Linked DNA regions of Drosophila melanogaster. The protein of the gene in region 2 interacts with the protein of the main gene of each other region in a pairwise test. Each region holds a gene or a part of one and is shown on either strand. Other genes may lie near its edges.

Evidence for each region.
Region 1: the proteins of Fa2h (region 2) and Cp15 interact in a two-hybrid assay, tested with the Drosophila melanogaster proteins (one large-scale study listed by BioGRID).
Region 3: the proteins of Fa2h (region 2) and lva interact in a two-hybrid assay, tested with the Drosophila melanogaster proteins (one large-scale study listed by BioGRID).

The regions. Positions count from the first base shown.
Region 1 is NT_037436.4:8,724,724-8,733,148, forward strand, and holds Cp15 (chorion protein 15), read left to right. Parts: upstream 1-3,757; 5' UTR 3,758-3,803; coding exon 3,804-3,815; intron 3,816-3,886; coding exon 3,887-4,222; 3' UTR 4,223-4,343; downstream 4,344-8,425. Other genes in the region: CG6511 (uncharacterized protein), read left to right, coding at 1-80, 144-337, 403-788; CG43965 (uncharacterized protein), read right to left, coding at 862-957, 1,020-1,040; Cp18 (chorion protein 18), read left to right, coding at 2,112-2,126, 2,301-2,804; Cp19 (chorion protein 19), read left to right, coding at 5,185-5,199, 5,289-5,795; Cp16 (chorion protein 16), read left to right, coding at 7,268-7,598, 7,733-7,818. UniProt on the Drosophila melanogaster protein: Chorion membrane (egg shell) protein; plays a role in protecting the egg from the environment.
Region 2 is NT_033778.4:7,443,724-7,456,967, forward strand, and holds Fa2h (fatty acid 2-hydroxylase), read right to left. Parts: upstream 7,831-13,244; 5' UTR 7,723-7,830; intron 6,273-7,722; exon of another isoform or gene 6,057-6,272; 5' UTR 6,046-6,056; coding exon 5,695-6,045; exon of another isoform or gene 5,444-5,694; coding exon of another isoform or gene 5,271-5,443; intron 5,219-5,270; coding exon of another isoform or gene 5,060-5,218; intron 4,897-5,059; coding exon of another isoform or gene 4,589-4,896; intron 4,533-4,588; coding exon of another isoform or gene 4,064-4,532; intron 3,989-4,063; coding exon of another isoform or gene 3,931-3,988; exon of another isoform or gene 3,750-3,930; intron 3,459-3,749; coding exon 3,231-3,458; intron 3,167-3,230; coding exon 2,678-3,166; 3' UTR 2,466-2,677; downstream 1-2,465. Other genes in the region: CG30503 (uncharacterized protein), read right to left, coding at 289-562, 626-873; kappaB-Ras, read right to left, coding at 1,303-1,794, 1,859-1,972; CG11125 (uncharacterized protein), read left to right, coding at 3,931-3,988, 4,064-4,532, 4,589-4,896, 5,060-5,218, 5,271-5,443; Inos (myo-inositol-1-phosphate synthase), read right to left, coding at 11,350-11,508, 11,579-12,046, 12,111-12,353, 12,426-13,124.
Region 3 is NC_004354.4:3,958,435-3,968,636, reverse strand, and holds the start of lva (lava lamp), read left to right. Parts: upstream 1-3,309; 5' UTR 3,310-3,882; coding exon 3,883-3,936; intron 3,937-3,998; coding exon 3,999-4,070; intron 4,071-4,139; coding exon 4,140-4,220; intron 4,221-4,284; coding exon 4,285-7,995; intron 7,996-8,052; coding exon 8,053-8,160; intron 8,161-8,226; coding exon 8,227-10,202. Other genes in the region: CG6428 (uncharacterized protein), read left to right, coding at 400-607, 1,005-1,240, 1,300-2,049, 2,116-2,817. UniProt on the Drosophila melanogaster protein: Lva and spectrin may form a Golgi-based scaffold that mediates interaction of Golgi bodies with microtubules and facilitates Golgi-derived membrane secretion required for the formation of furrows during cellularization.

The DNA.
Region 1 (8,425 bases), on a different chromosome or scaffold from region 2:
TCGTTGCGACTTTGTGATGTCGAACACCCTGGTGCACGACAAGTGCTATACAGTTTTCGATCGGGCTTAATACACAAAAGGTAGGACGGAGGACTATGAGTTGCAATTAGCAAATGCATAAAAACAATTATTGACTTTTCCAGGATTGCTTCCTTCCACTACTCGCAGCTGCGTTCTCATGGCTGTTGTGATTTCTCTCAGCTGCCCAAATCTACTCTACAGCTCTGTAAATACCACTACGAGAAGGCCACTCAAATTCTAGAGAGCCTTAAGGAGGTGGGAGACCTGTTGGTGGTGCAGCTAGAGCGGATTTCCCTTCATGAATTTCTGGCCGAACGTGAGTATACCAGATGGTAAAGGCCACTAAGAGTTAGAAAATAAATTAATTCAATTTTCCGGCAGTTTCCACTCACACCGCACAGAAGATCAAGCAAATGCAAGCGGCTTTGGAAATTTGTTTACAGTGTCACCTCATATTTGCCCACGTCATCGATACTAACAGTGGCCAAGTGGCCGATGACGAGTTCGCCGGCCATTTGACGCTCTTTGAAAGCCGCCTGCAGAATGCGCTGAAGACGCTTACGAAGCTCACGCTGGCCGGCAAGGATCCCAAGCAGTTGTCAAAGCTGTACAAGCGCATGTATATGGAAACCTTGACTGGGAAACATGGCCTAGGGGCCCAGCAATCGTCGACAGCTTGCTTAAAGCATTTGCACATGCTGCTCGCCCGGCTACGGGCCATGTGCGAAACACAGCTGGCCCCGCGACCAGCCGTACGTGTCTTCTGATAGGTTTTGCCCCAGAACCCACAACAGTTCGAATTGTATGCATTGCTTGACGCTTGTTTATTGATGTATCATCTCAGCCCCGCCGCCCGCAGCCGCATTCATCGCTCTCCAAATGATCTGCTCCGATCTGCAAAGCAGCCAGTACAAGCAGCACAGCCAACTGTAGGATCTGCAGATTGAAATTACCATTAATGTGTCCATGCCGATGAAACCATAATCATCTCATCTCACCTTGCAACGCAGACTACTCATTTTGTAAGCGTTTGGAGACAGTTTTCTGATCTTGTCATCGGCAGCTCGGCTCTTATAAAGTCTGAGGGCCCTGGCCCAAACGTGTCGTTTATCTAGATTAGCCTCCGCTAAATATCTTGTTCAACAAGCTGGCTATATCGGACTTGTGATGGATGTTCAGATCCGTCAATCTTGGCTTGAGGTTTCAGCCGACTTACATTTGCATTGTATTGCGAATAATGTTACTATTTAATATTTATCGTGTCGTCGTTGGCGCTAGTTCCAGTTTCCAGTCTTATAATATTTTTACTTAATTCCTAAGAGCAAAGCAACTAGCTTAAATCCCAATAAAGCAATCTTGAAGAGAAAATGCATACGGAGAAAGATCGTTTTCACTCGTCTTCTGGCTACTGGATGCTGGTACCCTGAGCCTGGCCAACATCTAAATAATTTATTATTCATTATTAAATGTTTGCGCCCGCCCATAAGCCATTCACAATTTGTGTAGCGCCAATTGAATGTTATAAAAAGCTTAGTGCGGCAGTTTGGAAAGTGGAACGGTTGTGTTTATAATTTTATTGTAATTTTATCTCAATTTTTTTTGCTTTTGTATATAAATTCTACCAACGCAGCAGAATTTTCAGGCCACTGCCTTGACTTCACTGTGTCACTGAAAAATCGGTGTCAAGCTCTCGGCACCGTGGGGCAAAGCAACTGCAATACTGATCGAAACTATGCGGATCCGGAGCACGAAGAGTCATGCGGTCGGAATCTTACGTAATGGGTCTCGTCTCTGGTAGACGATGGCGTAAGCACAGACGCCTGCTATCTGGACCGGCCCGAATTGAGAGCCAGCATTTTGGCCAGTGCGGATTCGGCCTGGCTGCACGTCTCCGGCGGCGTCTCAAGATTGCTGGACAAAGAGGCGAGGCCTGGAACTGCGTCTGCGGGAACCCGGAGAGCCGAAACTTGCATCATATTCGTCACGTAAGAGTTGGGCCTCTGCCTGGATCTGGTATAAAAACAAAACATTGCGCCAGAATAAGACATTAGTTACCTTCGCATCGATCAACTAACCAACTCAGCCTCAGAATGATGAAGTTCATGGTAAGCCTTAAGTTCCAATATTGTTTCTATTGACACCTCAACTGAGTCCAGTATGATCCTTTCAATAAAATATAACTACATATTATAATAATTGGATAATATGATTGGATCTTTCTTTTCTAATACACTTCAGTCTAAACCCAAATTAATTGAATTTTTTCTTGAATCCCTTAGTGCATCTGCCTCTGCGCCATCTCTGCCGTTTCGGCCAACTCCTACGGACGTTCCCGTGGTGGATACGGTGGTGCCCCAGTCGGTGGCTATGCCTACCAGGTGCAGCCTGCCCTGACCGTTAAGGCGATCGTTCCCTCATACGGTGGTGGATACGGCGGAAACCATGGAGGATATGGCGGTGCCTACGAGTCGGTGCCTGTGCCCGTGTCCTCTGCCTACAGCGGTGCCAATGTGGGATCTCAGTACTCCGGTTCCGGCTACGGCGGTGCCCCACCAGTTGATGCCCAGGCCATTGCCCTCGCCAAGCTCGCCCTGGCCGCTCCCAGCGCTGGAGCTCCTCTGGTCTGGAAGGAGGCTCCCCGCTACGCCCAGCCCGTCTATCCCCCCACCAGCTACGTGAACCAGGAGTACGGACACAGCGAGAAGGTGAAGGGAGGCTCCGCAGCCGCTGCTGCCAGCTCCGTGGCCGCCGGAAAGAAGGGCTACAAGAGGCCCAGCTACTAAGTGGCAAAACGTTGAACAGTGAACCAAAAACTTACCTGCCCATAAGGAACTAGGTCATAATAATAAAAGCCAAAACATCAAGACTTAAAATTTTGAGTACTGTATTCTTGCTGGGTTTTTAGTTTCGGGCCGAGAATTGAGATCTGCATATCTTAGCTGAATTGGCATAGACTTGCGGTTCATTGCAATGCCAAGCGATACTTTGAGCCAGCAAAAATTTCGTGGTTTCGTAGTTAAATGAAAATGCTGCTTAAAGTGCTAAAGAATAATTCTCATGGCGAATGAAGCTGAAAAGCTAAAACTAAATTCATTTGTGGGGCCACTTTAAAACTATAGTTCGTCAAATAAGCCTTGACTTTTTTAAGTTACCATAAGTAAAGAACCTATTAGATAAAATGAGATTAGATAGAATATAGTTTTGCTTGAAATTATGTTTTTGTAAAATTTCAAAATGATTGAAATACTTTAAAATGTTTTAGTTATAATTTTAAGTTTTGTATGTGACTAGTGGTCACTTTAAAGGGATGATTCTATATAGGTTTTATCAGAAAAACCGGCTGGAACCAGTTCTAGAAGAATCCTCACTTAGACAAGCCAAGTTCCGGACACAACCGACCTGGAAACCATTACCCCCGAGAATGTGGATAATATAAAGTTCAATTCAACAAATTTTGGACTGTATTCGAAAATAAACGCGTTCGTGGTTCCCATTTGGAAGAGTCGCGTGTTCGTAGTGCTATCACTACCCAACACCCGGTAGAATAGCACATCGCGTAACCAAGCGATTTTATAATGGCTTGACAACAAGTACATAAATCAAATGTGAGTATATTCCAGCCGGGCAATTATGAAATGCCATTTCTGGGCTGAAACAGAACAATTAGTGTATATAGGTCACGTAAATGTCCAGGCTAAAATTTGCGTATAAAAGCGAGCGTTTCTGGTCGGTAAATCATAGTTTGATTGATTACCCCAAACCAACAAAACTAAGCACTCACCATGAAGTACCTGGTAAGTTGTGGTAGTCCCCGTGAAGGAGTGGCAGCCAACTGATCCTCCGGATTTCCCCTTTTCACCTTCAGATTGTCTGCGTTACCCTGGCCCTTTTCGCCTACATCAACGCCAGCCCAGCGTACGGCAACCGTGGAGGTTATGGTGGTGGCTACGGTGGTGGCTACGGTCCTGTTCAGCGCGTCGTCTACGAGGAGGTGCCCGCCTACGGACCATCCCGTGGCTACAACAGCTATCCCCGCAGCCTGCGATCGGAGGGTAATGGAGGAAGTGCCGCTGCCGCTGCCGCCGCTTCCGCCGCTGCCGTGAATCCCGGAACCTACAAGCAGTACGCCATTCCCTCCTACGAGTTGGATGGCGCTCGCGGCTACGAGATCGGACACGGCTACGGCCAACGTGCTTACTAATTCTCGCTTCATCGGCAGTGAATTGAACTATCGACTCCTTGCTAAAATCCTCGAGTGGCTGTCATGGCGAAACTCTGAGAATCAGTGAATAAAAGCAGCTTGAACGCAATGGAAAATACCGAAAAGAAATACGTATTGTGTGTTTTGCATTGTGACATACTTTTCAGCGCATTCGGGTTAAGATTTAGCGGTGGGTCATTATTATTATTCCACACACAAGATGGGTTTCAAAGTGGGGCAGCTAGAATATTCACTGCGGCAGATTGTACAATACTATATAGAAGTACTATTGCACTTTAAGCTACAAAGTCGACAGGTTAAGCTTCAGTGACTCAAGAATTTAGTCACCTATGAAACCCTTAGTTTCACTAATAGATTCTTAGACGAACATCTTAAATTGTATAATCAAACAAAGGGCTATATATATTACAATAACATATTTGCCAATGTGCATAAAGGCATAGACTCTGAAGTTATGTTTTATCGTTAAAATTTGGTTTGTTCTGTTTACTTGAAGGTATAGATAATATTATAAAATCCATATCCAATAACCATTGGTCAGTCGTTGGCCCGTTATCCCATTAACCCGCTTGCGTTCCCGCACGCACCCAAATGCAACCATTGATTTTGGGCCTCAGTTGGGAGCATCTGCATCTGCCACCCCCAACGAAGGTCAACCGGCGAATGGAGGCGATACGATACGCTGCGGTGAGCAACCTGCTCGAGCCGAAACGAGCTCAACGTGGAGCCCCGATATCTGGCTAGGAAAAGCTAGAAATCCACAGAAAGTTCCCCAACAAACTGGCCGAGAAGAGACGACGAAGCCAGCTCTTGAGCCGTGATAAATTTCTGGGCGAGATCACGTTTCGAGTGCAACAATAAATTTGCTTATATAAAGAAGTGTGCTTGGCCATTTAATATGTTAATTCAGCCAACTGTGCCAAAACCCATACATCATAGCCATGAACAAGTTCGCTGTAAGTGTCCCTGAGAACCGCTTCCGTATTCCCTGCCGCTCTTTCATTTTCCGGACTTATGCTAACTGAAAGTTTTCCTGATTTTCCAGACTCTGGCAGTCATCTTCTGCGCCTGCATCGTGGGCAGCTGCTACGCCAACTACGGTGGCCAGCAGAGCTACGGACAGCGATCTTACGGTCAGGATAGCTCCGCCGCCTCCGCCGCCAGCTCAGCAGCTGCTGCTGGAGCCGAGGGTCAGCAGCGTTATGAGCGCCCCGTGGAGATCATCGCCGGCGGTTACCGCGGCAGCTATGCCCCCGAGATCCTGCGTCCCATCCAGGTCAGCGGTGGATATGGCGGTGAGCGACGTGGCTACAACGGTGGCAACTACCGTCGTGCCGGCTACGGACCCCGTTGGACTGTCCAGCCCGCCGGTGCCACCCTCCTGTACCCCGGCCAGAACAACTACAAGGCTTACGTCTCGCCCCCGGAGTACAGCAAGGTGATCCTGCCCATCCGCCCTGCTGCTCCAGTGGCCAAGCTTTTCGTCCCAGAGAACCAGTATGGCAACCAGTACGTTAGCCAGTACTCTGCACCCCGCAGCAGCGGCTACTAAGCGCATACTTGATTATCCCCAGCCAACCTGGCGGATACTTGATCTCAGCCTGATCGTGTACATAATAAACAACAAGAAAAAATCATAATCATATTTGGAATATATATTTTTCGGGGCTTTTAGGTATTTTTTTGTATATCTATGAGAAAACAAATTTTCGGGTCTTTCGAGCTCAAATGCAGCTGCAGCAGCTGTTCAGAGCGGGTGGAGCATTGTTCATTTGATTGCAGTCGCCACCGGGAATGTCTTTGAGTGGCTCGGCGGAAACGTGCTCCGGATTTGCTTGCTCCGGTTCGCTCGCAAATCACTCAGCAAGCCATAAACAGTCAATTATTTATTGTGTCAGTCAGTCAATAATCTTGAGGCCAGAAAGCGCCACAGTTCGCCGTGTTTGCCGATTGCCGCGCTCATTTTCATATTTTCTGTATTCTGGCTGGTAAGCAATCGCATCTGCTGACTTGTTTGGGGCCAAACTCTTGGCCAAGAGCTTCAATGTTGCTGGCCATCGCTTGACATTCGAGTCGAGCGGTGAATCACGGCAAGAATTCTGGCATCGAGTGCGGCACAATTCTTGGGAAAACTTGTCGTTGAAATTAAAACCATGTGTGTAGAGGTTTTGTCTGTTTGAATAATTTTAATTTTTCGTAAAAGTGAATTTATGTTTTGTGTTAAGCCGAAATATAAATAAAGTTTAATATTATTACTAACTAACCGTACGACGTTTTTCAGTAAAACAGCTTAAAATTTGGTATTTAGCAACATTGTAATATTACATTAAAATAAATATAAGAATGAAATTCTAATAAAAAGGCATAACTTAAATGCCAATCTATTTGAAACATAACTTAGAATATTGACGTAATAATCCACTTTGTTGCTATGCACATTTTTGTCCATTTTTAAATAAATTCATAGAACTGAGTTTACGATCCACAAACTTTTCAAAAACATTGTTCAGCTTTAAAACTAGAGTTTGCCCGACGTCCAAAGACTTTCGTACGTCGCTGGTTCCGGTTAGTGTTCATTGATCGGTGGCTTAACCCCAGTTGGCCCGATTTCCGATGCGTGCATGGGCCGGATCGCCGTGGAGTACGGCCAAAGCCCCGATACCGCACACACCAGAAGCGAACAGAGCGTGCCGAGCAGGGGGAAGTCGCTATCAATGGAGCAGCTTCTCGGGGTTCCCGGGGTTGTGGCAGTGCCGCAATTTGGCGCGCAATTTCAATGAGCATAGAAATTGGAGACGATCCCGTGGCCTTATCGCCCTGGGCCGGAGGGGACGGAGGGGGCTGGAGATGCTGCCAGTGGCGGCCCCCCGAAAGTGACTGGTCATCGAGGTGGTTTGGTCACGTCTGGTGAGCTCACAAATCGCGGAGCAGCTCAAATGGTGTTGCTATAAAAGCAATTTGGACACACGCTCTGGTTAATTAGTTTTCGAAACAGTCCGTTCCTCGCACCACCACCAAAAAAAAATGTCCGCCACCCTACGTCTTCTCTGCCTGATGGCCTGCTGCGTCGCCCTGGCTGTGGCCAATCGCCCCAACTACGGCGGATCCGGATACGGAGCCAGCTACGGCGATGTGGTTAAGGCCGCTGAGACCGCCGAGGCTCAGGCTTCTGCCCTGACCAACGCTGCCGGAGCAGCTGCCTCCGCCGCCAAGCTGGACGGTGCTGACTGGAATTCCCTCAACCGTTATGGATGGGAGCAGGGTCGCCCACTTTTGGCCAAGCCCTACGGCCCTCTGGACCCGCTATACGCTGCTGCTCTGCCACCACGCTCCTTCGTGGCTGAGGTCGATCCAGGTGGGTTCCTAAACTAAGCTACAACATGGAGTTCTTAACTGGATAATATTGTTTATCCTATGATTTTGGATTGACTTCATAGCACCGCTTTGCCACCCAGACTTACCTTCTTTTGTATCTTCTCTACCTTTCAGTCTTCAAGAAGAGCCAATACGGCGGATCTTACGGCGAGAATGCGTACCTGAAGACCGACGCCAAACTGGGTGTTGTGGCCATCTAAGAGCTTGGATTGTATAGCTCCAAAAGTGTTAATAAATAGTGATAGCTTAAAGCAATATAAATCAATGGAAATTCATTTATTGGGCTGGGAAACCAAACTTGAGCGAATCTTTATTTGCAAATGAGAATGTTTGTTTACTCCGACAACTTCTGCCTATTTTTGAATGCCATGAAACTTTAGATGGCTAAAAAAAAAACTTCAAAAACTTTGAGTTGGCTATGCCAAACTTCATTACTTGAAGTCCACTAAGGTTCGCAGCTACACCATTTCTTGAAATCTTGAAGACCCCCCCATTAGTAAAACCGAATTTCACTTACAATTTCTTATTGTTATTATTATGAATAGAATTTCGTTTTTATTGCAAGATACAAAGTAAAAAATGTGAAAATTGCTCAGTTTTGTTGATGCTGATTTAATGTAAAATTCAAATTCGTTACGAGCACACAGAAATTTACCTACTAAACATAAAGTGAACTAAAAACAAATAGTAGAAGCGGTTGTAACTCGGTTAACTCGATGCTGCGGTGGCGTGCTTAGTGGGATATTTCGGTGACGATTATCATTTCCATTTCAAGTTATTAAGTTTTAGTGCTTTTCGTTCAAATGG
Region 2 (13,244 bases):
CAAGATGATTACATTACCTGATGCGCACATCACATTAATTATTACTTATAAGGTAATCCCACTTTAATCTGGATGAAATATAAAATACTCCGAATATTTTCTTGATCATTTTGAACTTTAATTGAGCCTCCGAATTCAGTTTTTAATATAATTCCAGGCTACTTAGCCTTAAGCTTCGAAAATTTATTACACAAATAACCTACCGTCAAAATCCTAATCACATTAGGTTTCGCTCCCCGCACAATCTGTTTTGTAAACAATTGAGGGCTTATCGCCGGACGTCGAAGTTCAATCTCGGGAGTCCTCCTCGCTGCCGCTTACGTGTGTGTAGAGGGCCAAGTCGTAGAACTGCCAGCGCTGCGGCTGACCTTCGTCCACTCGGTAGCTGAGACATCGTGTCTCGAACAGGTCGGCCTGCTTCTCCTGGCAGGAAACGATGGGATGCCCGTAGCCAAAGCACACCTCCTTGGTGTTGAAGTAGATTTTGCCAAGAGCCAGGGAGTGTCCGTTTCGCAGAGCGGTGAGGCAGTTCCGGAAGGCCGACTCGCAGGCACACGAGAATCTGCGGGGAGCGCACGATTATTGATCCCAAGATCAGCATGGGTGCTATGGAATCCACGCTTACATGGGGAAAAACCCGTCGTTTCTCAGGCCAAAGGCTTCCTCCAGCGGCGGAATCTTCTCCTCACAGTTGTCGTGCGCCCGGCAGCACGTGTCCACTTCGCGCTCAGTGCCCAGGTCATCGTAGTTGGCTGCTATGTTCCCGGGTCCACACCACTTTGTGCCCGGAACTGTAATGCTCAATCCCGCAGCCGCATGGCTGGCATAGATCAGCGTTAGGAGAACAGTAAGAAAAGCGGCACGCGAAAGCATTGCGCTCGAGGAAGGGGCTTGCAGACGACTGATCCAAGGGGATTGCCGTAGAGCAGAATTTCGGCATGGTTATTTAATCACTACGCGCCATTTGAGCTGCGATTGAGCAGTGAATACTGATTACGCTTAATTCTCGCGGAATGAGAGAAGACATGTCGGTGTAATAAATAGTAGATACAATTGGACACACACAAAGAGACATAAGTACAAGTGGCTTGGGCTCTGGCCCACATTAAAGCACAACAGTTAATACAAGGCAAGTAGACTCTAAATGGATCAATACGAGTACGATTGGGGAGATCCCAAGGATCTCTTGAACTTAAAGCCAAATCTGTGGCATTCATAGCTACTGTTAAGTATCGGAGATTATTGGGACACTCCCGAATAAAACTTAAATTATATCTCTTCCCTTTCGTCCGTTCAAAACAGCTAAGCCTCGCTCTTCTGCCGGTTCTGCATAACTTGGCGCAGCTGAGGGAACGTGCTCTTCGTCTGCATTGGGTGCAGCCGGGCGCAGAGCGTGGTGAATGGCTCGTAGAGGGAGGGACGCTCCATGGCGTTCACCGTGTAGTGCTTTATGCGCTCTCGCTGGCACCAGATGTTGGCGCGGTCCATGACCTTCTCGACGGGATTTGGGGCTGCTCGTGCCCTCACGTTGGCCAGCACCACAACGGGAATCTCCTTCTTCTCCTTGTGCTTCTCAATGTCAGCCTTGATGTCGGCCAGCATGTCAAGGCTGCGCGGATCCATGGGATCGTAGACCAGAACGAATGCATCTGGAAACTGAAGGTAGTGGCGTGGCAGCTGCTGCTGCTCGCCCTGCAATCCGGCCGTGTCGTAGATGCGCAGGGTCTCTCGGGCTCCGCCCCTGCCTGTATCCACGCTGGCCACGTAGATATCCTCAATGGTTGGATGCAGTTCCTGCAATGAACTCCGGGATATGAGACATCAGCTTTACTTTGAGCTCTGCCAAAGGCATTCTCACCGTTTCGGGATTGACGTGGCCGTAGACCAGCTGCTCTATCAGCGCCGTCTTGCCCACGCCCTTCATCCCGCACACCAGTACCTTGCCGACCTTCCCGATCTTGGCATTTAGCATTATTCCAGCAGGAGAAATTGGGACCCAAAAAAATAAACAAAACTTTCGCTGGATTCTTGGTAGTGTGACCAAGCAACGCCAATGAGAAATTCCACTTAAGACAGGTCTTAAACAATTATCTTAAGCTAATTTTAATAATATAATATTAATTATTAAACAAACTTGAACTGATTGTACCAGATTTGTATGAAATAGGTAAATGAAAGTGTTCATACAAACCGTCTGTCTGCTTCTTTATTTATTCGATTTTAAACAAAAATATTTAAACGCTCCAGAGTGATGATAAGGCATTTACCAAAGGAATTAAAAGTTAATCAAAGTATTCCCTCTCATATATAGGTAAGGTACCAAACTTCTAATGTAAACTTTGGTGACGCATCATAAAATTGCCGAAAATTTTTTGTTTTTCCCCAAAATAGTTCCAAAATAGTTCCAATAGTTCCTTTGATTGCCCAGTTTTCTGTTTTCAAAAAGGATTTTCCATTTGTTCTTTGGTATCATTGGAAGTGTATTCCTGTTTAATAGAAATTGGTAAAAGTCTTACAAATAATTCTTAAGCCTAATGCTCAGTATTCAGCCTACACAAATAGGCTAAAAACCAAATTTCCGATTTGATTGAACTATTTGCTGCGGCAGCAACTCTGTTGCGTTGAAAACTGAATGTAATTTGTTCTATAGTAGCACTGTATTAGCCATTTATTGCAGCTAGGACCAGCGCAGTTGGTATCTCAGCTTGCGGAGATGGATTCTCGTTTTGAAGACGACATCCCACAAGGGACTGCTGATGCCGTAACCGAGAGTTTGGTGCGAGAAGTGGTGGTGGTGATGATAGCGCTTCATGTGTACAAAGGCCCATAGCGAAGGGTTCCCATAGTGCAGGTAGTAGTGCATCATATCGTAGCACAGATAGCCGGCCAGAGCTCCAGACAAGATCACTCGCGGATGGGACAGGACAAAGCTGAGCGGGGTGTAGATGACCGCGGCGAGCACTGCGCCGGGAAGGGGCGGAAACACCAGTCGCATCGGATCGAAGGGCACCTTGTGGTGCAGGCCATGGATCATGAAGTGGAAGGTGCATAGCCAACTTCCGCTCTTGTTGCTCAGCTTCACGTGGAACACCCAGCGGTGCAGTGTGTACTCCAGGAAAGACCACAGGAGCACGCCAAATAAAAAGTAACCGGAGAACACAGCCAGCTGCAGAAAGAAGATACTTTTAGAAGATCGTATCCAAGAATGCGAAGATTGCGCGACTACTCACCTGGTTGCTATCCTGCCAGGCGGTGGTGAACTCCTCCACGGCGCATTTCACGATCACTGGTATCCAGAACAGGGGCACCAGCCACCAGGGCGTCTTGGTGCACATCTCCAAGTACCAAGGGTCAAAGAGACGCAGTGGCCTGTCCACCGGCTTGTGAACCCACTCATCGTAGCAATCCGTTATGTTAGCTATCTGCGGAAGCATTGCCTTAGACCAGTCCACTAGGTGCTGGAATTCATGAATTTACAATAGGTTAGTCAATAAATTAATACAGTATGTATTACCATAAATTGGTTTGGTTAATTACCTTTGAAAATTAAATATTTAAAATTAGAAGCTGTGCAGAGTTTTTATTTTATTTTATATTTTTTTATTTATTTTATTTTAACTTTACTATAATTACAGAATAGTAAGAATTTCACTTGATTTCTACTTGCTTTTTTATTTAATATTTACTTAAACACTAGGACATCCCATAAACCGTTAGTTGGCTCGAATGTGGCCAGCCGCGGGTCAGCACCGAACCGATATATAATGTTATCGGGCATCGATGAGCAGGTACAATCACAAGCAGCTGGTTCAAAATTGTCATTTGAACCTGTGCCTTACTTCACACAACGACGCAGTTTCCACTTGTCGTAGTCGAGATCACATTTCTGGAGCCCCAGCCGTCTAGTTATAGTTCGGGAGTAGGTGGAACATGTCGAATACTTCAGTTCGCCCGATTCCAACGTTAAAGGGCATCTTTTCGGTGCCGCGTAAGATTTCTTTTCCAAACAGCCGCTTGGCCATGGCAACCAGTTGGTAATTTGTTTTGGTCTCCGTTCCCACAGGCGTCACACAGTCCCGAAACTTCCTCAAGGAAAACAAGGTGAGCCTGCGCTCGCTGGAAAAGTCCACCAGCCAGAAGTTGGCCGCTAAGGAGCCGACGCGCCCGAAATGGATGCCCCCGCTGCGACGCTCTTCCTCCGTGATGGGAGACTCGAAGGCGGAGAAACCAGCAGCTAAGGGCAAAACTATAAAACAGAACTCGTTGCAAAATGGCCGCAGCACCTCTCGCTCACAGCACCAACTGGCCGTGGCCGTTCCGGCGGAGGGGGAACGCTTCGATGGCCTGGAGGAGCGCAATCCCATCTTATATGACCCGTCGGAGAACTTAGAATCCGAGAATCTCCAAGAGCCTTCGTCGGATACAGACATTGATCGCTGTCAATCGTGTGGCACGAATCGGAGCTCCACCAGCATAGCCATCCAAACTGAGGACATTACCGACGAACTCTATCTAACAAATGCTCTGAAGAAGTATGACTTTTTGCACCAAACTCGAAGGTTTTCACAAAGGTTTATCTTATCCGCAGATGTAACTTTGATGCCAGATCTATACTGGAGGAATCCGGTGCAAAATACGGGGAAAACTACAAACCCATGCAATATGAAAACGAGGAAGATTTGGAACAGTTGCCGCTTTCGGCGCGTTCGAACTCCTCGAAGCAGAGTCGCTTCAACATGTCCGAAATGGAGGCTATGCCCATGACCGAGGCCGAACCTGCAAACTACGGCGCCTCAGACGACGAGGCTCCACTCAGTGCCCGTAGTCGTTTCACAACGGCCTCCAATGTCACCACCATAAGCTCTAAGTCAAAGCGTCGTGAGCATAAACTAGGATGTGAGTTTATCCCTTGTTTACCAATTGTCAGCGACAGTAATGACAAAATTAAATATCTTTGATAATTATTTCATATATAATCTATAATTATTCTCTATTTTAAATATCTTATATTCCCTCCTGATTTGATTTGAACTAGTCATGAATTTGTACTTTTTGACAGCCCGAGATGAGGTGCGCTTGCCGCGTTACCTGGAAAAGCAGAAGCGCGAGAAGGCGGTGGCCAAGCAGCTTGCGGAATCGCTGGATCCCGACTGTCCGCGTGGCCATGTGTTGCTCAGCGATCAGGACCGACTGACGCACCTCACTAATGCTAAGAAACGTGAGTTAATGTTACTACTATAAGTTTGACCCTTGCTAACGAATCTTAACAGGCTACGAACAGCTGGTTAATGAACTGAACCACATGCCCATGACTGCACAGACGTTGAGGGTGCGCAACCGCAAGGCGGAGATCGACAAGGAGCTGACCACCGTGGAGGAGGACATCCGCATATACTCCAAGGCAAAGGTCTTCGTGCTGGCCAGCAAGTCGCGACAGTTGTGAGAACTCATGCTACATAGCTCCCAAAAACATTAAAGCATTCCATCGACTGACTGACCGAGCGAGCTACTGGAATCTTGGATTTGCAAAACACGCGTGTTCCTTTCAACCATGCCTTACGTTAATAATATATTTTTTAGCTGAGATTTGGATCGCAGACCTACCCCGCCCCGATAGCATTGTGACCAACTTAACGTGCGATCCAGTCGACCAGCAACTAGAGTTACAGATTAAAAACCGCTCATCCAACTTACCTCCATACTATCGTCCACCTGGTTATTGTTCTTGTCCTCCGTTTCCCTGGGCCGTTGTCGCAAAGTCCCATCTTCATCGTGATGCAACGTTTCCCTTTGGCTCGACTTTGGTTTCCGAGAGTCCTCTGGATCGATTTTGTACTCCCTCATCAAGTACATGGCCGCATCCGAATGTGGCGGCGCCTTTAGGAAGCGAGCTGTCATGTCCCCGCTGTTGAGACCTTTGAGTGTGTTTATGCCTCCCGGATGCTTGTGCATAAACCTGGACAAATCGTAATACTGCTGGCGATACTTTACTATGAACTTGTCGTTCGACTCCGCTTCCTTTGGTATATCCATGTCGATGGGCATCAATTTGGCAACTGCAGTGCGAAAAACAATCGGATAAGACTTTGCTGTTCCTTTGCGAGCATGATACTCTGCCACTGATTATCTTTGGAATTAATTACTTTGCGTGCCCAGCAGCAACATGATGCCATATTGTATCGGACACGCTCAATTAAATATATAATTCACCTCCTCTTAGAGTTATTTTGTACACAGATCAAATGTATCATCCCCAAAAAACTGAATTAAATAACCCTCATTGGCGCAGCTAAATGAAATATTTCACACAAATATATTTTAAGTAAATCTCCTTAAGAACATATTGTTTAATTAAAAAAAAACAACAGCTATCTATCTGCTGAGATAATTGGTTACGAATTCATAATTTTGACCTTGATGCTTATGGTATTTACACAAATAAAACGACAATGTATTATAAATAATCCTGTTTTTATTAATAGTTTTTGAAGGGATGCAGCATTTCCTACATATTTGATATGCGCACTGTATAGTATTTGCCATTTTCATGATTCATAAAAAAATTTCACAGCCAAACCTACGATAGCGTAATCTATTGAAACCAAAATATAAGTATAGAAAAAGTATCTGCACCTATTATCTGCATTCCAAGGTATCCATTAAAGTCAAAGTTTTGCTTATCAATTAACTTCTATCCGATTTCTAGTGACCCTAAGGATATATTATTTTGACTTCCTTTTAGTTGAAGAAATTTTGGATTGATACCTTCTATTCTGGCGTTGAACTTATAGGATTCCCTAGTTGGGTGTGGGAAAGATTTTCGAAACACCACACTTGCAGAACATTTGTTTAATTGATTCGGTAATAGATGTAATTACAGCGATTAGGGCGAATCAATTGCAGGTCGTAATTGCAACCTACAGAGCAATGTTGGAAATGCACTGGAGGCATTTCACCCAGTGGCCGTCAGGGGCTCAATTGAACTTGGCATTCCCGAAGTGCGCCAGATGTTTCTTTCCGATGATGCGTGCCCATATGGGATCCGCACAAACATTTCCATTCTTAACGGCGCGGGCACTTTGCCTTTTGCCTACGCGCCGCACTGAGCGTCGCCATTCCACGGACGAACTTGCTCCGTCAATAGTTTGCCTTATCAATGCTGATAGGAAAGCCTGTAAGCGCGGGGATTTGGTTTGGATGAGAGGGAGTAGACGGCTCGTTTGTCAAAGTGGCAAGTGGTAAGTCCCCAAACGGGGTGCCACGTTAGGATTGAGGGTGGAGCAGGTGCTCTGACTCAACCCCGGGCTGGGGCTGCGTCACATTGATTAATAGTGTCTATCTGACACATAGACACATATGCGGGATAGGCTGGGCACTGTCTGCCCGACCTCTAGCACCTATGGTCTGGTCTGTCCATTGGCGGAGCCATCAAACGAAGCCCAACACTCGTGTTTACACGCGGCTAATGGCGTTTGTTCGGGGAGTGATAGTGGCAAGCAAAGCTTTATCTATCCGGGTTAGCAGTGCCCCGAAAACCTGTGGATCGGATACCGGGCTGGGTCGGATGATATCTTATCGCGGGCGATGACAAAGTATCGAAGATACATAGTTGGGCTATCGTCCTAAACTATGGGCTAAGCTGCTTGCCACACTTAGTGCTACTTGCACCCAGGCAATTTGCATAATTTCAGACCCTCGGCTACCACGGGATTATTTATTTACCGAATTCGCACTGCTCTGATCAAAACACTGGGCTCTTGACTCCAGACCGGGTTCCCAACTGTCGGCAGAGCCTCTGACCGCACGCAACGCAACGCAACTCACGACTGAACTATGGCCCACCCACCCAACACATCCACATCCGTGGCGTCGACGCCGACGTCGCTGCTCAGTGCTATCTTGTGGGCTCTAGCCGCTGCTAGTTACCGGCACCTCTAGCCCTAACCACTAGCCGTCGGTGCTCCTGACGAAGCGGACCACGCATCGGCTACGATAAGATAAACCCGGACAAGTTCCAGTTGTAGTTCCAGATACAGTGATCCACGAAGTGGGAGGACTGCCGGTAATGATTGTACCGATCCGAACTCTTATCGTCCAATTTGCAAGGCACCGTAAATGTAGCTATCGCTGCGTGTTCCAATATTCTAACAATCCTGACGTAGATCTCGATTGCGTTTAACGAGCTGCGGATAACTATTGCTGGAGCCCTTATCAAGATTCCTATACAAATTGTTCCCAGACGAGTCACCACGAATCGGAACTCTGATTTCGGCAATCGAAAATGAATCACCCATGAACATCGTCCTCGGCGAGCTTCCTCGGTGCTTACCACGATATGGAGGTACTTCTTCGCATGAGTATGTACTCCTATTGGGCACTTGACTCTCGAATCAGTCCTGATGTATGGTATCATTGCCCTCATGTCAAGAAATAATTTTCTACTGCTAATATAAAATCACGTTGGTAACTTATGATGTTTAGATTCCGAGGCACGAAAATGTTCTTTAAGCAAAGGTTTACAGCAATAGGACCTATAAGTTCGAAAAAGTCCTTATATCATAGATCTAATTTTTTAAATTATGACCCTTGTATATTTCCAATCCATTTTAGGATTCATTGTAACCTAAGTATAGTAAAAGTGTGGCATTTTTAGTTCTTACATATGTATATCTTATTTATATATTATCTATATACTTAATACTTAATAAATATGTTAGTTATGAAAACATCCTTTCACAGACATAACTTCTTACGTTTTCTATAGAACATTTATTACTGATACAAATCAAAACCCTATTTAAAATGGTTTTGAGATTTAAAGAGTTTCTCATGCTCATGATATATGTAACATAGCATAGTTAAAATATTAATTTAGTACATTTCATTTGCCAGTAATCGAACCAAAAAAATCTTTTCGAGATCCCAGTTAAGTGCCAGTGATAGTGTGGTTGGTAATGCTTAATCGTCTTTTTGTAGTGAAGTCGATTGAGTGAGCAAAAGTGAAGCCTAACTAACAGGTTTCGATAAGCCACAATAGCTCGGTTCAAGCCACAAAGGTGAATTTGTAAGGCATCTCAATGGGTTAGAAAACCGCGGAGTAACCCAGTTATAGTTTGTATATGTTTGTTAGTATAGCACTGGGTTTAAGTAGACTAATAGATTCGTATAGGGATATATAATATATTGCTAGTTCGCTGGCGAGTTGTGTCCACTTTTCCCTAAGGGGAATGCAAGTCTGTGCCAACAACTTGACGTTTAAGGGCCAAGCCAATCCCCACGGACACCATTTTAGTTATTGTCCATGGCAAGGGACTATATCGAAGAAGTTAATTATACACATGTCATCGCATCAATCGCCTTCAAAGCCACTAATATCATACAGGTCGAATGGGAATCGAATTGATTGGCTTGAGTGCGGGGTCACCTCGATAAGTTTGCTTATAAGTTTGAGCAGGAAGTAATTACTCTCTAATGTGACAACACCCATAACCATATTAATCACGTGTGACACCATAATAGAATAGGTAAGCAATAGAGGATAAAACACCCAGCGCTTTTGAAGGATGGGACATATTTATGCCATGGGAGTCCAGTCTGTGGCCTTTTTCTTGGCATTTCTAGTATACTCATACTAGTCTGTGCCTTAGAACTAGTTTGATTAGAAATGTTCAGCGTATTTTCTTTTCAAAAATGTCCATTTTAATCCCAATGCTTGCAAGTCTTATAAAATACATTATCAAAACAACAAACTTAAATACAAATTCATACAAAATGAAAAATTTCAACATTATCTTTAAAACTGTGGGCGTGGCAGCTTTGGGCGTTATGGTAAGCTTAACAACCAGGGTTATCGAAAATAAGTTTCGTCTATGTCTGTGGAATCTGCATGCTTAACCTTAACTTTCTAGCTTTTATAGTGCCTAAGATCGAGACTTTCATATGAACGGAAAAATCCCATAGCCCAGATCCAGATTCGGTTAGTTCCCGCCAGAAATTGGCAAATAATAAAATTTAAAAAAATATACAAAAAATTTAAAAGTGTGGGCGGTTAGAAGGTGCGTGGCCAAAGTTCTTTTGCTGTACCGATAGAAATTGGCCAAACTTGGATCTCAACCTCTACACGGACGGACACGGCCAGATCGATTCCAATATTGACCCTGATCAAGAATATATACTTTACTATATAAATGTACTTTAACAAATCTAGTATATATACTTTTACCCTATGAGTAACGAATATGAAAATAGTATTCGATTGAGTTTCATAAGGTAAATATTTCAGTTCCTGATGGTGATGTGTGTAACATTCTGTGGCTACAATACGACACACGCCTTATATCCAAGATAAGAATCTATCAAAGTTCGATATCGCAACAGATGGGTAAATAAAATCTTTATTGTGGGCTCACACCATTCTCAAAAGAATCTTATCATAATGTATGGAACAATTGTAAAGATACAATCTGAAGAACATATTTTCATTGCATATTTTTTAGCGGGTTTAATTATTCCTTCTGACAATCGATTAATCATATTACAGAAAGCGTGTGTGTATCATTCGGTATCATCTAACTGAATTAAATCATTAATTTAAATTAGTTTTAATATCAACTTTGAAGTCCCAATACAATAACTAATCTAGTTACTTGATAGTGGTTATGTCCTCAACGATCGATTACCTTTATTAAAATAAAGTGTCTTACCGGACATAATTTAACACTCATATAATATTTTATACTTTAATATTTAGCAACAATCATCGGGATCAAACCGATTCAACTGTCAGAAAAAAAGGTTGACATTTTTAGCAGCAAGACCACAACAGATAGCGTTTTTCGCCTAAAAGGTGGCATTTTTTTTTCTATTTCATGTTATTTTCATGCCTTCAAAAAAATGAAATTGGAATATGAGAACAAAAAGCTTCTAATATGATAATAACTAAACTATTTGTACCAAACAAACGTCGTTATTATTTACCCATCTTAAACTAAAATTTACTCATACTAAGAACTTTTGAATAATCTTCGAGAACTAAATTTTAGGCTAAACGTGGATATTAATTAAGTATTTCAATGCAGGAACTTCCTTCCATTGTTGTTTCCCAAACATTTGAAGATGTGTTCCATATCCAGTAAACTCCATGATCTCTAAGATATGATATGATATGATCGTGCTCATAAGAAATAAATATTTGTTTTGTGGTATACAGACAACAGTCTATTACGCCTTTTTATATTTAAACGATTCAGTTAGTAATAGTAGCTTAAGTCTATTTCGTAGTTTATCCAACTAAAACCATATATATTCCAATTATATATTCCGATCGAAAATCAGGGATGCGGCCATCCATCAGTGACCATTGCCGTTAGTGGCCAGCTTGGCGGACCCATTGGAGTGTCCATTGGCATGGAGCTTCTTTCCATTGGTGACCGATTCCACGGAGCAGGGCTGGCCCAGGATCTTGACCCTCTTTAGAGGCGGCTCATTTGTAATGGTAGAAAAGTCGAACTGTGAATAGAAAGAAGAAATCGAGGATATTAAGGATCCGAATGATTGCTTTTGACTTGACCCTACTTACCCGCTGCTCCAGGGTCATGTGTGAGATGGGCGGCAGACCAATGCAGCCACGCAGGATATTCTCTATGGCGGCGCGCTGGCGGAAGAGCGAGTTGACCACCTGGGAGCCCTGGGGCACCAGTGGAGCCTTGCACAGATAGCTCAGCAGGGAAAGCACTGGCTTGAAGGGAACCCACGGGGCGGATTCCTTCTCCGCATTGCGCAGCTGGATGCGAGTGCTCAGCTCGCCGAGGATAACCAGGTCCAGAATGAGCGGTGTGGCCAGCAGCGAGTCCTCGCAGGTGTTGTGGATCACCAGGGTGTTGTGGCCGCCCATCATGATCTCCGATGTGTACTCATCCATGGCCCGCTTGCTGTCGCCCACATAGGGCACGTACTTGATTACCACGACGTGGTCGGGGTGCTCATCGGGTCCGTACAACAGCCTGTTGGAGGCAACCATGTCGTCCACCACGTTGCTCTTGGAAATCTGCCGGAGGAGGAGTTATTATTAATAAGAGGAGGAATCCTGGAAATCCTGGCTGGACTCTTACCTCCTTGGAGCGGAACTGTTGAGGAGCGGACAAGTTCTTGCCATCGTTGTTGCCCAGATGGTTGTAACTGGCAATGGACACCGGCTTGATACCAGCTCCCACCAGGAAATCTACCAACACGCTCTTGATCTTGGTCTGACCGGACTTGAAGTCATCGCCGGCAATGAAAACATTCTTCTCCTCGGCCAGCTGGATCAGTCCGGGCACAAAGGTGTTCTGCGGAGAGCCGTTGATGTAGGTGCACTGTGGAAGTGGATACATGGTGGATTAGGTAATTAGTCTTGCTTATCAATAGAATGGAGGAGAATAACTCACCCCCTCGGCGATGCTGGCCATTGCGAAGATCGTGGAGGGTGACACCTCCGAGTGGTTGGCCTCCAGGGAGGCGATGAGCTCCTGGCTGGTGGTGTTCAGACCAGGCTGGACATCCGCGAAGCGCTCCGTGTTGGCAGTCCAGAGGACGATGACCGAATCGACGCCACTGCGCTCGCGGAAGTCGCGGATGTCCTTCCGGATTTGCTCGTACTGCTCCAGACGAGTGCCACGGATCACGTTGTCAGCCCGATCCGACTGATTGGCCGCGATGAAGTCGGGGTCGTAGATGGATGGACGTGGGCGCAACTGAGCCAACTGATCGTAGATCTGATCCTGCAGAGCCACGTCTAGGACCTCGGCCCTGCGCATGGCGTCGCCCAAATGCAGGCCACTGATATCCCAGCCATCCACGATAATGTTGTCGGGCTCCACCATGGGCAGCAGCTCCTTCATGGGCACGTACACGTCACCGCCGTCCTCATCGGATCCAATGAAGACGGTGGACGCCTGTGTAATGGAACCATACCAGTTGGCCTCCTGGACGCCCGTCCGCTTGCGCCACTTCAGCTGGCGACGATTGGCCTCCAGGGCGGCGGTCAGCGTGGATCCGTTGTTGCCACCCCATCCCACCAGCATCACGCCCAGCTTGGGCACATGGCGACCCGTCCGTATCTTCAGCGACGTCGTCTGGGGGTGCACCTGCAAGATCGATCGGTGATTAGAGCCGATAAGCAGGAGCAATGGCACAACCCGTTTGGTCTTATTATAGGTCCGGCCACCTTATCGATATTTCACATTAGCCACCCAAGTCAGGTAGCC
Region 3 (10,202 bases), on a different chromosome or scaffold from region 2:
GGTGTTTATTTATGACCAAAATATTGCAATCAGCGGAATTTCATTTGAATTTCATTAGATTAGTCATGTACGTCGTGGGCCAAAGTCTGGTGCGGTTATCTATATATAAGTGATTGCGCCGCCGTGATTTGGGCTTTTCGTTTCAATTTCCTCTGCGATAGAGTCCCAATACCACGTGCTATCTCGGCGTCCCCCCGCGAATTATTATTTCACTACTTCGGATCCGATCCGGATTAGCACGATAACGAGTTGGCCAAATAATCATCAACGGCACGGGCTGTTAATGGATTTGCTGTTTACGCGTCGGAACGACACCATCTGAGCAGCCAGTGATAAGGCACACAGCTTCGCAACCGGCGCTCCGCAGTCCATCATCCTCTATACTCTTTACTCTATATTATGGATATTCCCGTCCTGAAGACCAATGGTCACGAGAGGCTGGCCTCGCTGGACAAAAGCATGCCGCCGGCATCGCCCACTCTGCCGAGTCCCACGATCCGCAGGAATAAAAGTGATGGAAAACTCATGGCCCAGGATGTCAAAGAGGCCCGGGTGAAGGTCATCTACACTGGCGGCACCATCGGCATGGTGCGCAACGAGCGGAATGGTAAGCAGCCCAGAATGTCACGAATACGAGGATTCATTGGGATTGCCCGAATCTGTCCATGTAGATAAGATCCCACTTTTACTAACAAGGGGAGTCTTAGAAAATGGCCAGATATGATAAGAGCAATGCACTTGAAAACATTTTATTCGAATAATATGTATGAAAGTTGAAATTGTTGGTATGAATGTAAACAAAACAAATCAATTGGCAGTCAACAGATTGTTGATGCTTCTATTTAAATATTGACTATTTGCTTGCTATTTATTGAGTGGTCTAATTAGGTATTTTAGTAAACATTTGACACACGAAGCGTGACCATAAATCATCATCTTGATTAGGAAACTAATTTGTCACGGAGTTTGTGACTATCAATATTAATATTCTATAATTATCGCAGTGTTAGCTCCCATTCCCAATGCCCTGGTGCGCAGCATCCGCAAATATCCAAACATCCACGATGAGGAGTACGCGCTGCGCCGCTTTGGAGCATCTGCATCGATGGCTCCACTGGTGCTGCCCATTGTGCAGGGCGTAGATCGCCGGGTTATCTACCAGATCTCGGAATATACACCGCTGCTGGACAGCAGCAATATGACGATGAACGATTGGGCGCGAATCGCCAGCGATATTCAGGTACATACATATATATATATATGAAAGGTAATATTAATCCTTTCCAAATTATTGTCTAGCAATCGTACGAGTTCTTCGATGGCTTTGTGGTGCTCCATGGCACCGACACGCTTTCCTACACCGCATCTGCATTGTCTTTCATGTTGGAAAATTTGGGCAAGACGGTGATCATCACGGGCTCCCAAATACCCATCTTTGAGACGCGAACCGATGGCAAGGACAATTTTACGTCAGCCTTGATCATAGCCGGTAACTACATCATTCCGGAGGTTTGCATCTTCTTTGGCCATAAGTTGATGCGCGGCAATCGGACGGTGAAGGTCAGTTCGAATGCCTTAGACGCGTTCGACTCACCGAATGTTCCACCACTGGCCAGGATCGGCATTGATGTGAACGTCGACTACCGCCTGATATTCCGGCCATGCACTATTGAAAGGTTTTGCGTACACTTGAATCTCGACGAGAACGTCGGCTTGCTGCGAATCTTTCCGAGCATTTCGCACTCCACATTCCGGGCTTTCCTGGCGCCACCGATTCGCGGCGTTGTCCTGCAATCCTTCGGATCTGGAAACATACCATCGAACCGAAAAGATCTCATCGATGAACTGCGTGCGGCTGGTGAACGAGGCGTTATCATCATCAATTGTACACAGTGTCCCAATGGCACAGTGGCGGAGATCTACGATACGGGCAAGGTGCTCTGCGATGTCGGTGTAATTCCCGGTTTCGATATGACGCCCGAGGCGGCGCTGGCCAAGCTGGCCTATGTCATCGGCAAGGAGGAGTGGTCACTCGATATGAAGAAGCAGGTAAGTTTCGACTATAATTCAATACATACATAAATATGGATAATCCACAATGTGTGCATTTCATAGATGATGCAGTCAAGCCTGAGGGGCGAACTGACCTCCTTAAAGGCTCCCAAAATGGAGGACTACGACTTGGTGGACGCAGTGGCACGGTCTCTGCACTTGTCCTCGCCCCAAGAACTGGATCAGCTGGGCGAAACGCTCTTTCCGGCCATGATCAACGCCGCTGTGGCCGAAGGTGATCCCAAGAAGATCAACAACTTGAAAGCCTATGGCGCCGACTTGTCGGGCACAAATCATGACCAGCGAACGGCCCTACACTTGGCTTGTCAGCTGGGAAACGTGGAGATCGTTAAGTACCTACTGCAGAACGGGGTGTCCGTGCACGTGCGTGATCGGTATGACCGCACTCCACTTCTGGAGGCTGTCGCCACCGATAGCCACGAGATCATCCAGTTGCTCATCAACTGTGGTGCTCATTTGACGGGCTCTTCGCGAGCGGTGGGCGAGCAATTGTGCGCGGCCGCTGCTAGGGGATCGATGATCAGATTGAAGTCCTATCAATACGCCGGTGCCGATCTTGCCCAGTCGGATCCTTCGGGCAGGACGGCCTTGCACGTGGCAGCACTGCACGGATTTCCGGAGGTGGTGCAATACGTCCTGCCCTATTTCGAGAATCCGAACGAGAAGGACATGCTCGGCCTGACCGCCATGGATTATGCGGAGCGCGGCGGACACGCAGCGGTTATGGAGGTCCTAAAATCATAGAAATCTCTTCCGAACCATACATACCTCGTTCCTTGTTCCTGCAGCATGAAGAAAAAAACAAACACTGGAGGCTAGGGTTATTTCTTTTGTACTTAAGTGTTGCATCTAGTCTAATGGTTCCTTATTATCAGTTTTGCATAACTCGCATATTAACGATGTTGTCGTGGTAGTTTTTATTATTAAGTGTCGAATCCCTGACCTGTTTTTAAGTAGTCCTTATTTACTAATGTATCCATTGTATGCAATAATATTATTAGCCAAAACCAAAAATTAACCAATCATGTCTAAAATTAAGCATCAGACATATTAAACGGTTGTATAACAAGTTATATACACAAACTAGTATAATTTGTTGTATGAAAATAAATAAAATCAATTTGAAATTAATGCAAAATTTTTGAATTAGTTTGTAATCGATTGATTGATTACGAGCGCAAGTGCTATCGAGCCATCTGTCATTCGATAACTTACCAGGGCTTTGTGACCCTATTCAGTTGTTGCGCAGCCCTGGTATCGAATTGTTTTTACGCTGGCATTAATTAGAATTGGTAAATATACATCTGTCAGCGTGCACATAAGAAAGCTCTTACGTTGCAATCTAGTGCTTAGTGGCTTGTAACTCAGAAACCAGGCGAAAATCGACACAAGCGCTGGAAAAACAGCAAACAAAACACACACACAGCCCCACTCGCACACACACAGCCGCACACACACGCACACATCTATAGAGAGGTGCACACGTCAGTGCCACGAATTCCATAAAATAAAAAGAACAACAAGAAACGCAAATTCAAAGCTAAAGACAATTCTAGCCGATCGGAAGCGGATGATATATGTTAGCTATATGGTAAACCCTCTCTCGTTGCAGTCAATGTCGATAGCTAGCGCTGCGCAGCCACCGTGGATATATAATCGGTCCTTCAGATAGCCAGTCCGCATATATATTCCCGATTCCCCCGATTTGTGTTTTTGTTTGTTTTTGGTTTTTTTTTTTTTTTTGTTATTGCTGCTGCATTTGGTCCGGTACGCTAGGATAGTTAGTAATATTTTGTAATTGAAACGACAATGGCGGAAGATTCGGGTGCTTTGGAGAGCTCCTACGACTTCTCCATCGTTCAGGTGGGTTTCACTTGGTGTTCCCTGTACGTACATGCGTCCATACTGATCATGACCACTTGCAGCCCGACGATCACGAATATGGCGAGGCGGATATACGCTTAGCGGGCAGCTCCAACGATCTGTCCTCGTTACAGGTGGGTAAATCTGAACAAATCCCCCAAGTGAAGCAGGATTCAATATTATCTGTTGAATCTACCCTACAGAATGTATCCGCCAGCACAACGAGAGGCACCAAAGGCAAGGGCCGTTTGGATAGCCTTAAAGAGAATCTGTACAAGCAGCAGGTGAGTTAGGCGCTGTGAATCAAGTGGTTCATATCATTAAATGACTCGAAATGATTGCTTTCAGGAGCGCCTCACTGCCTTAAAAGAACGCGCCTTAAGGAAATCCCAGGATGAGCGACACAAGTCCAGCATGAGTGACTCCATGGAGTCGCTTAAGACACTGGGTCAGAAGCTCACCGTGTTGAAGACGCGCTCCGGCGACTCCTCCACTCCACTGGTCTCACCCACAAAGGACAGCGACCCCGGTGATGTCTCTTTACTCCAAACCAGTGGCAGCGAGAAGCTTCTGATGCTCACACAGCGCACGGAACAAAATCGTGCTTTGTTGGAGCAGCGCAAGAGGGATCTGGCCAAGTCTCTTCTTTCTGTAAAGTCGAATATTGGCCACCAAACGACCGCCGAGCTGGGCTCTTCCATGACGGACCTACGACACGCGGCGTCTGTCTCCAATCCACCCGTATCCCGCCATCGTTCTGCCTTGGACTTGGAGGCCCAGGGTCAGGAGGCGGTGGACGAAAGCCGGGTGAAGTTGCTCAGGAGTCGTATGAAGTTGACGGAACTCAAGCAGGGCCGGCAGGAACAGGAGCTAAATGAATTGCGTACAGAACTGGCCAAGCGCGCTAAACTCATCGAGCGATTGGAACTATCCGGTGCGGAATTACAGCGCACGCTCACCCAGCGAAACGAGGAGTTAGAGCAATTGCGTGTGGTCCAGGCAGAAGAGGATAGCCTGAAGGTGCAGGAAAACTCTCGCCTCCAGGGCGAAGTTTTAGTCTTAAGAGAACGACTAGCAGAGCTGGAAAACGTCAACGACCTGTTAGAAACGACGCGCTGTGAACTTCAGGAAGAGCTGACCACGGCGCGCGAAAGACAGCGTAATCTGGAGTTGGAACAAGAGCAGGAAAAGGCTTCCCGCAGTCCGCAATCGGAAGCAGCGCATACCGATGCACAGGTGAGCGCGGAGCTAGCCAAACAGCTCCAGGAGCTTACCAACCAGCTGGCTGATCTACAGGCAACTAATGAGGAGTTGCGTCAGCAAGTTGCTGCCCAGGCGAAGCTCCAGGTGACCGATGAGATTGTTTCCCAGCGCCTTGAGGAACTGGAAGCCACCATAGCGGCGCAGCTTCTAGAGCTGCAGGAACAGAAGTCGGCAATGGCTGCCCAAAACGAAGAACTCGCAGAAAAGACAACGGAACTCAATGTGCTCAATGTGAATCTGCGTCTCCTTGAGGAGAAACTCGCGCAAAGCAGTCGCAGTAAGCCCCTATTTCTGGAGGACCATTCGGAGGACAGTGCCGCCAGCAAGCAGATGCAGGAGGATCTGCAGCAGCTGAAGCTAAAGCTGGACGAAACTAACAAGGCCAACATAAAGCTAAAGCTGAAATGCAAGCAGGCGGAAAAGAAGCTGCAGAAATTCCAATCCCAAGATGGCCAACAGCAGTTGGCTTCACTGTTGGCTGATAACGAGGAACTGCAGCAAAGGATCGCCGTCCTCGAGGACGAGAAGGGTCAATGGCAGTTGGCCAACATGCAAGAGGACGACCGCCAGCCAGAGCAATCGACGGAGTCCAATAATCCACTGCAGCTGGAAACAATTCGTTTGCTGGAAGAGCAGAAATTGGAATTGCAACAGGCCCTAGAGGCCTTACTCAGTTCATCCAGTTCTGCGGAATCCATTGAAATAGTGGAGCGTCATCACTTAGAGTGCCTAGGCCAACGACGTCCGGCCAGCGAGGGCGACGCCCAGGAGCAGAAGCAAGTGCATCCACCAGGGCCAAGTCACGTCAGCGAGCTCACTCAGACGGAGCAAACTGAGGAGGAGGATTCCTCTGGCGAAACTCTTTCCCAGCTTAGAGAACGTCTCGAACTTTTCACCCAGGAGCGCGGAGAGGTATTGGACAAGCTGGAGCAACTGTCGGCCGAGAATTTGCAACTCCAGGCAAGATTGGAGGAAAGTTCAAGTTCTCTTCAGCTGTTGCAGCGTGAACGTGAGAAGGATCTGATCTCCTCCACGTCCACTTCATCCAATCTCTCGCAGGAACTCAGTTCAATGCAACGCTCCTCCGAAGTTGTCGCAACACTGGACGCCGGCGAAGGAGGCCCCGTGCTCTTTGAGAAATGCGAGAAATCCCTGAGCAAACTCAACTCTGAATTGGAGGCCTATCGCAAGGCCAACGATAGGCAGGCCAAGTTCAATGTGTCCAAGAAACTGGCCAAGGAGGCCAAGAACTGTCACACCCAATTGAGTGAGCTTCTCCACAAGGTTAAGGAAGCGAGCACGGCGGTAGAAACTGTTACCGTTGTGGAGACCGTGGTGGCCGTGACCGCTCCCAACGGAAAAGCTCTTGCGGAATATGAGCAGCTAAACGCACAGAACGCGGAACTCAAGGCGGTGATCTCCCGATTGCGCCAGGAATTGGATGAATTGCGGGAAAGCTATCCTGAAACCGAAGCGCCATTGGCCATAGTTGGTTCCGATTCTCAAAGGGAAGATGAAATCCTGCAATTGCAGTCCCAGCTGGAGGACGCACGCTCCTTGCAGGCCGAGCAACGCCAGCAGATCGAGGAGCAGGTAGATCAAATCAAGGAGCTGCGTCAAACCGAAGCAGAACAGCTGCAATTGGTGGCCAGGCAGAGTGCCGAGATCACACAACTCCAGCTGCAATCAGAGCAATTCGATCAGCTGCTCAACTCCAAGGAAATGAGCCATGAGAAGCAACTGGAGCAGCAAACAAGGATTCGTCGAGAGTTAGAGGCCCGAGCCGAATCTCTGGAGGGCGAGCTGAGTATCCTACAGACTCTAGTTGCCGAGCAGAAGCAGCAACTCATTGAGAGTGTCAGCGAAAGCGAGCACGCGCTTAACCTTAAGATGCTGGAATTGCAATCAGCACAAGAGGAGCTGCGCGAATTGAGAGCCAAAGAGGATCCGGATCAGCTCCGAGAGGCTCTGCGCGTTAGCAAAAGTTTAGTTGCCCAGCAGGTCAGAGAGTTGACCTCCAGCCAGGAGACTGTCGATGCCCTGAACCAGCAAATCCAGGAGTATCAAGGATTAGAACATGCCCACAAAGAGGAGCAGTTCAAGAACCGCGAACTGCGCGAGAAACTCAAGAAGTATGCCCTTAACCTCAAGAAACGCACACAGGACAATGCCGATCTCGAGCAGAAGGTCCAGGAACTTACTAGTCAACTTCAAGAACAGCAGGAGCTTGTCAAGCAGAAAGAAGAGGTGGAACGTGAACCCATCGTGGACAACCATCGGGTTGAACAACTGCAGCAACAGGTCAGCAAGCTTAACGAAGACCTTAAGGCCAAGATCCATCTCAACCTGGAAAATCGCGATGCCCTGCGTCAGTTAAAGCAGCAAATACAAGAGCAGGAGCAACTTATCCAAGAACGTGATGCGGAGCTCCAAGATGCCAATCTGGTAAGCAAGGAGTTGCGACGCGAGCGCCAAGAAGCCGATCAGGAAGTCTTTCAACTGGGCCAGGAAAACTCCAGACTCAGGGAAGAAATCTCTAAGCTTCAGGAGGAAATCCATAATCTTGGACAGAGGGTAAACGAAGAGCCCACTGCTGTCGAGGATTTGCGGCGTCAATTAGAGGCCAAATCGAAGAAATTCGAAAAGTCCAAGGAGTTGATAAAGCTTCGCAATGCCACGATTCAATCGCTGCAGCGTGAGTTACAGCAACTGCAGCAGGATCAAGACAGCGAGGTGGAACATGTGCGGAACGCGCGGGCCGCTCACGAGCAACTGCGTTTAGAAAAGGATGCGGAGGTGAGTAATCGATTTTTAGGCATATTTGATGTCGAAGATAATAATCAACCACAACAGATTACTGCCCTCCGACAAGAGATTCTTAAGCTGGAAAGGAGCAGGGCAGCCGGTGAAGGCGATGATACCATTACCAAAACTTCACATCAACTATTGGAATCACAATCGGTGAGATTGAACTTTGAACTTGAACCTCATTTACCTTCTAATGCAACAAATAAAAAAAATTTTTAGCAACAACAAGCGGAATCCCTCCAAGTGGCAGAGAGAGAACTTCAACAGCTTCGTGTCCAGCTTACGGCGGCCCAGGAGCAACACGCTCTGTTGGCGCAACAGTACGCCAGCGATAAGGCAAACTTTGAGATGACCATCGCCCGTCTGGAGACACTTCACGAAGGGATTCAAGCCAAGCTACAGGAGGATGCCTCGTACATTGAGTCGCTGGAGGCTCAGAATACGGAACTGCAGGCCAGAAGCGCTGCTCTTGAGGAACAGGCCGCCAGTCAGGCTAACCAACAAGCGGCGTCCCAAGATAAAGTGCAAATACTGGAGCAACAGTTGAAGGAACAGCGCGAGCAGGAAGAGCAGAAGCGCCAACAGGATCAGCAGCTACAGGAGCGTTTCTATGAGCTTGGACAACGGGAGCAAGCTCAAAGTCGCCAACTTGAGTTGCTCACCAGCGAAGCTGAAGAGAGCAGGCAGCAACTGGCTGGCCTGCGAACGGAGTACGAGTCTCTGCTGGCCAAACACTCGCAACTAACAGCCACCGCCCAGGCAGAAAGGGAACAGATGAGCAGCCACAGCCAGGAGGAGCTGGCCGAACTCCGACAGCAACTGGACGTCAAGGAGGCGGATCTGCACCGTCAGCGGCAGGTTTACGATGCCAAACTGGCAGCCAAGGCCACGGAGCTCGATGAACTCGAATGCGACCTCAATAGCCATGTGGAGCGAGCTGCAGCCGAAACGCGAGAGCTTTGCCAGCAATTGGAGCGGTCCCAAGAGCTGGTGGCCCAACGAACTGAGGAACTACAGCGACTCAACGAAGAGTTCCAGGAGGTGGAACGCGAGAGATCCACTTTGAGTAGGGAAGTGACACTGCTTCGTTTGCAGCATGACAGTGCTGAGCAAGATGTTTTGGAGCTACAGGAACTTCGCATGCAGGCCATGCAGGACAAGACCGAAATGGACAACCTGCGCACTCAGATAGATGCTCTATGCGCCAATCACAGCCAGGAGCTGCAGGCGCTGCAGCAGCGAATCGCTGAGTTGGACACTCTGGGTCAGAATCAAACTGATGATCAGGTCTACATCGAAACGGAGAACAAGCGTTTGGCGGAGCAGCTAAGCGAACTGCAGGCACAACTGGCCAGGCAGCAGCACCAGCAGCAGCAGCAACAGCATCATCATCCTGCTGTACAATCTCAGCAGCATCCTCCACCGGCTTCACTGTTCTTTGGTGGCGATGCTTTGGCCGCCCCCTCGCCCTTCGATGAGATAGCCCAACCACTGAGGGTTTCTTCCCTAGCGGCAAGTGCACCGCCACCTATTTCTCCACCACCTACAATCGAGGATCTTCAGCGAAACGTTTCTGATCTGGAGAAGCATGCACAGGACTTGGAAACGAAGCTGCTGGCGCGAAATCAGAACTTGGCCGAGCAGGAAGAGCGACGTTTGCAGTTGGAGCAGCGTCTTTCGGAAGTAGAGCGCCTGCTAAGCGAACGGACACAGCAGCTGGCCGACATTCAAACGGCAAATGAGGAACGTGATCGCTTGGCGGCACTGGAGAAGCTTATCCAACCGGCGGCAGCGCCTACATTGGACATGTTCTTCGGCGGTCAGGCAGAGGAAACAGTGCCCGATGCTGTTAGTCACCATTTGGATTTGGGTCTGCCCCAAACGGAGCCAGTGGTGGAACCACTGATCCAGCCCAAAAAGGCATATTTGTGCCAGCCAAAGCAGGAAATTCAGGAGCAGACTGCTCAAACCATTGATTGGGGCGTTGACGAGGATCCCTGGGCCAGTGCTGCCAACGAAGCGCCGCAAACCGATGTGGAGCACCTGCACACGAGAATCGCTCAATTAGAGCTGCAGTTGTCCAATGCCGAGCAGCAAAAGACCGAACTACAGACTAAAGCCGCCAAGCTTATGAAGCGTCTGAAGGAATACAAAACGAAGGCAACAACGACCGCCACGCCCACTGTGACAGTGGA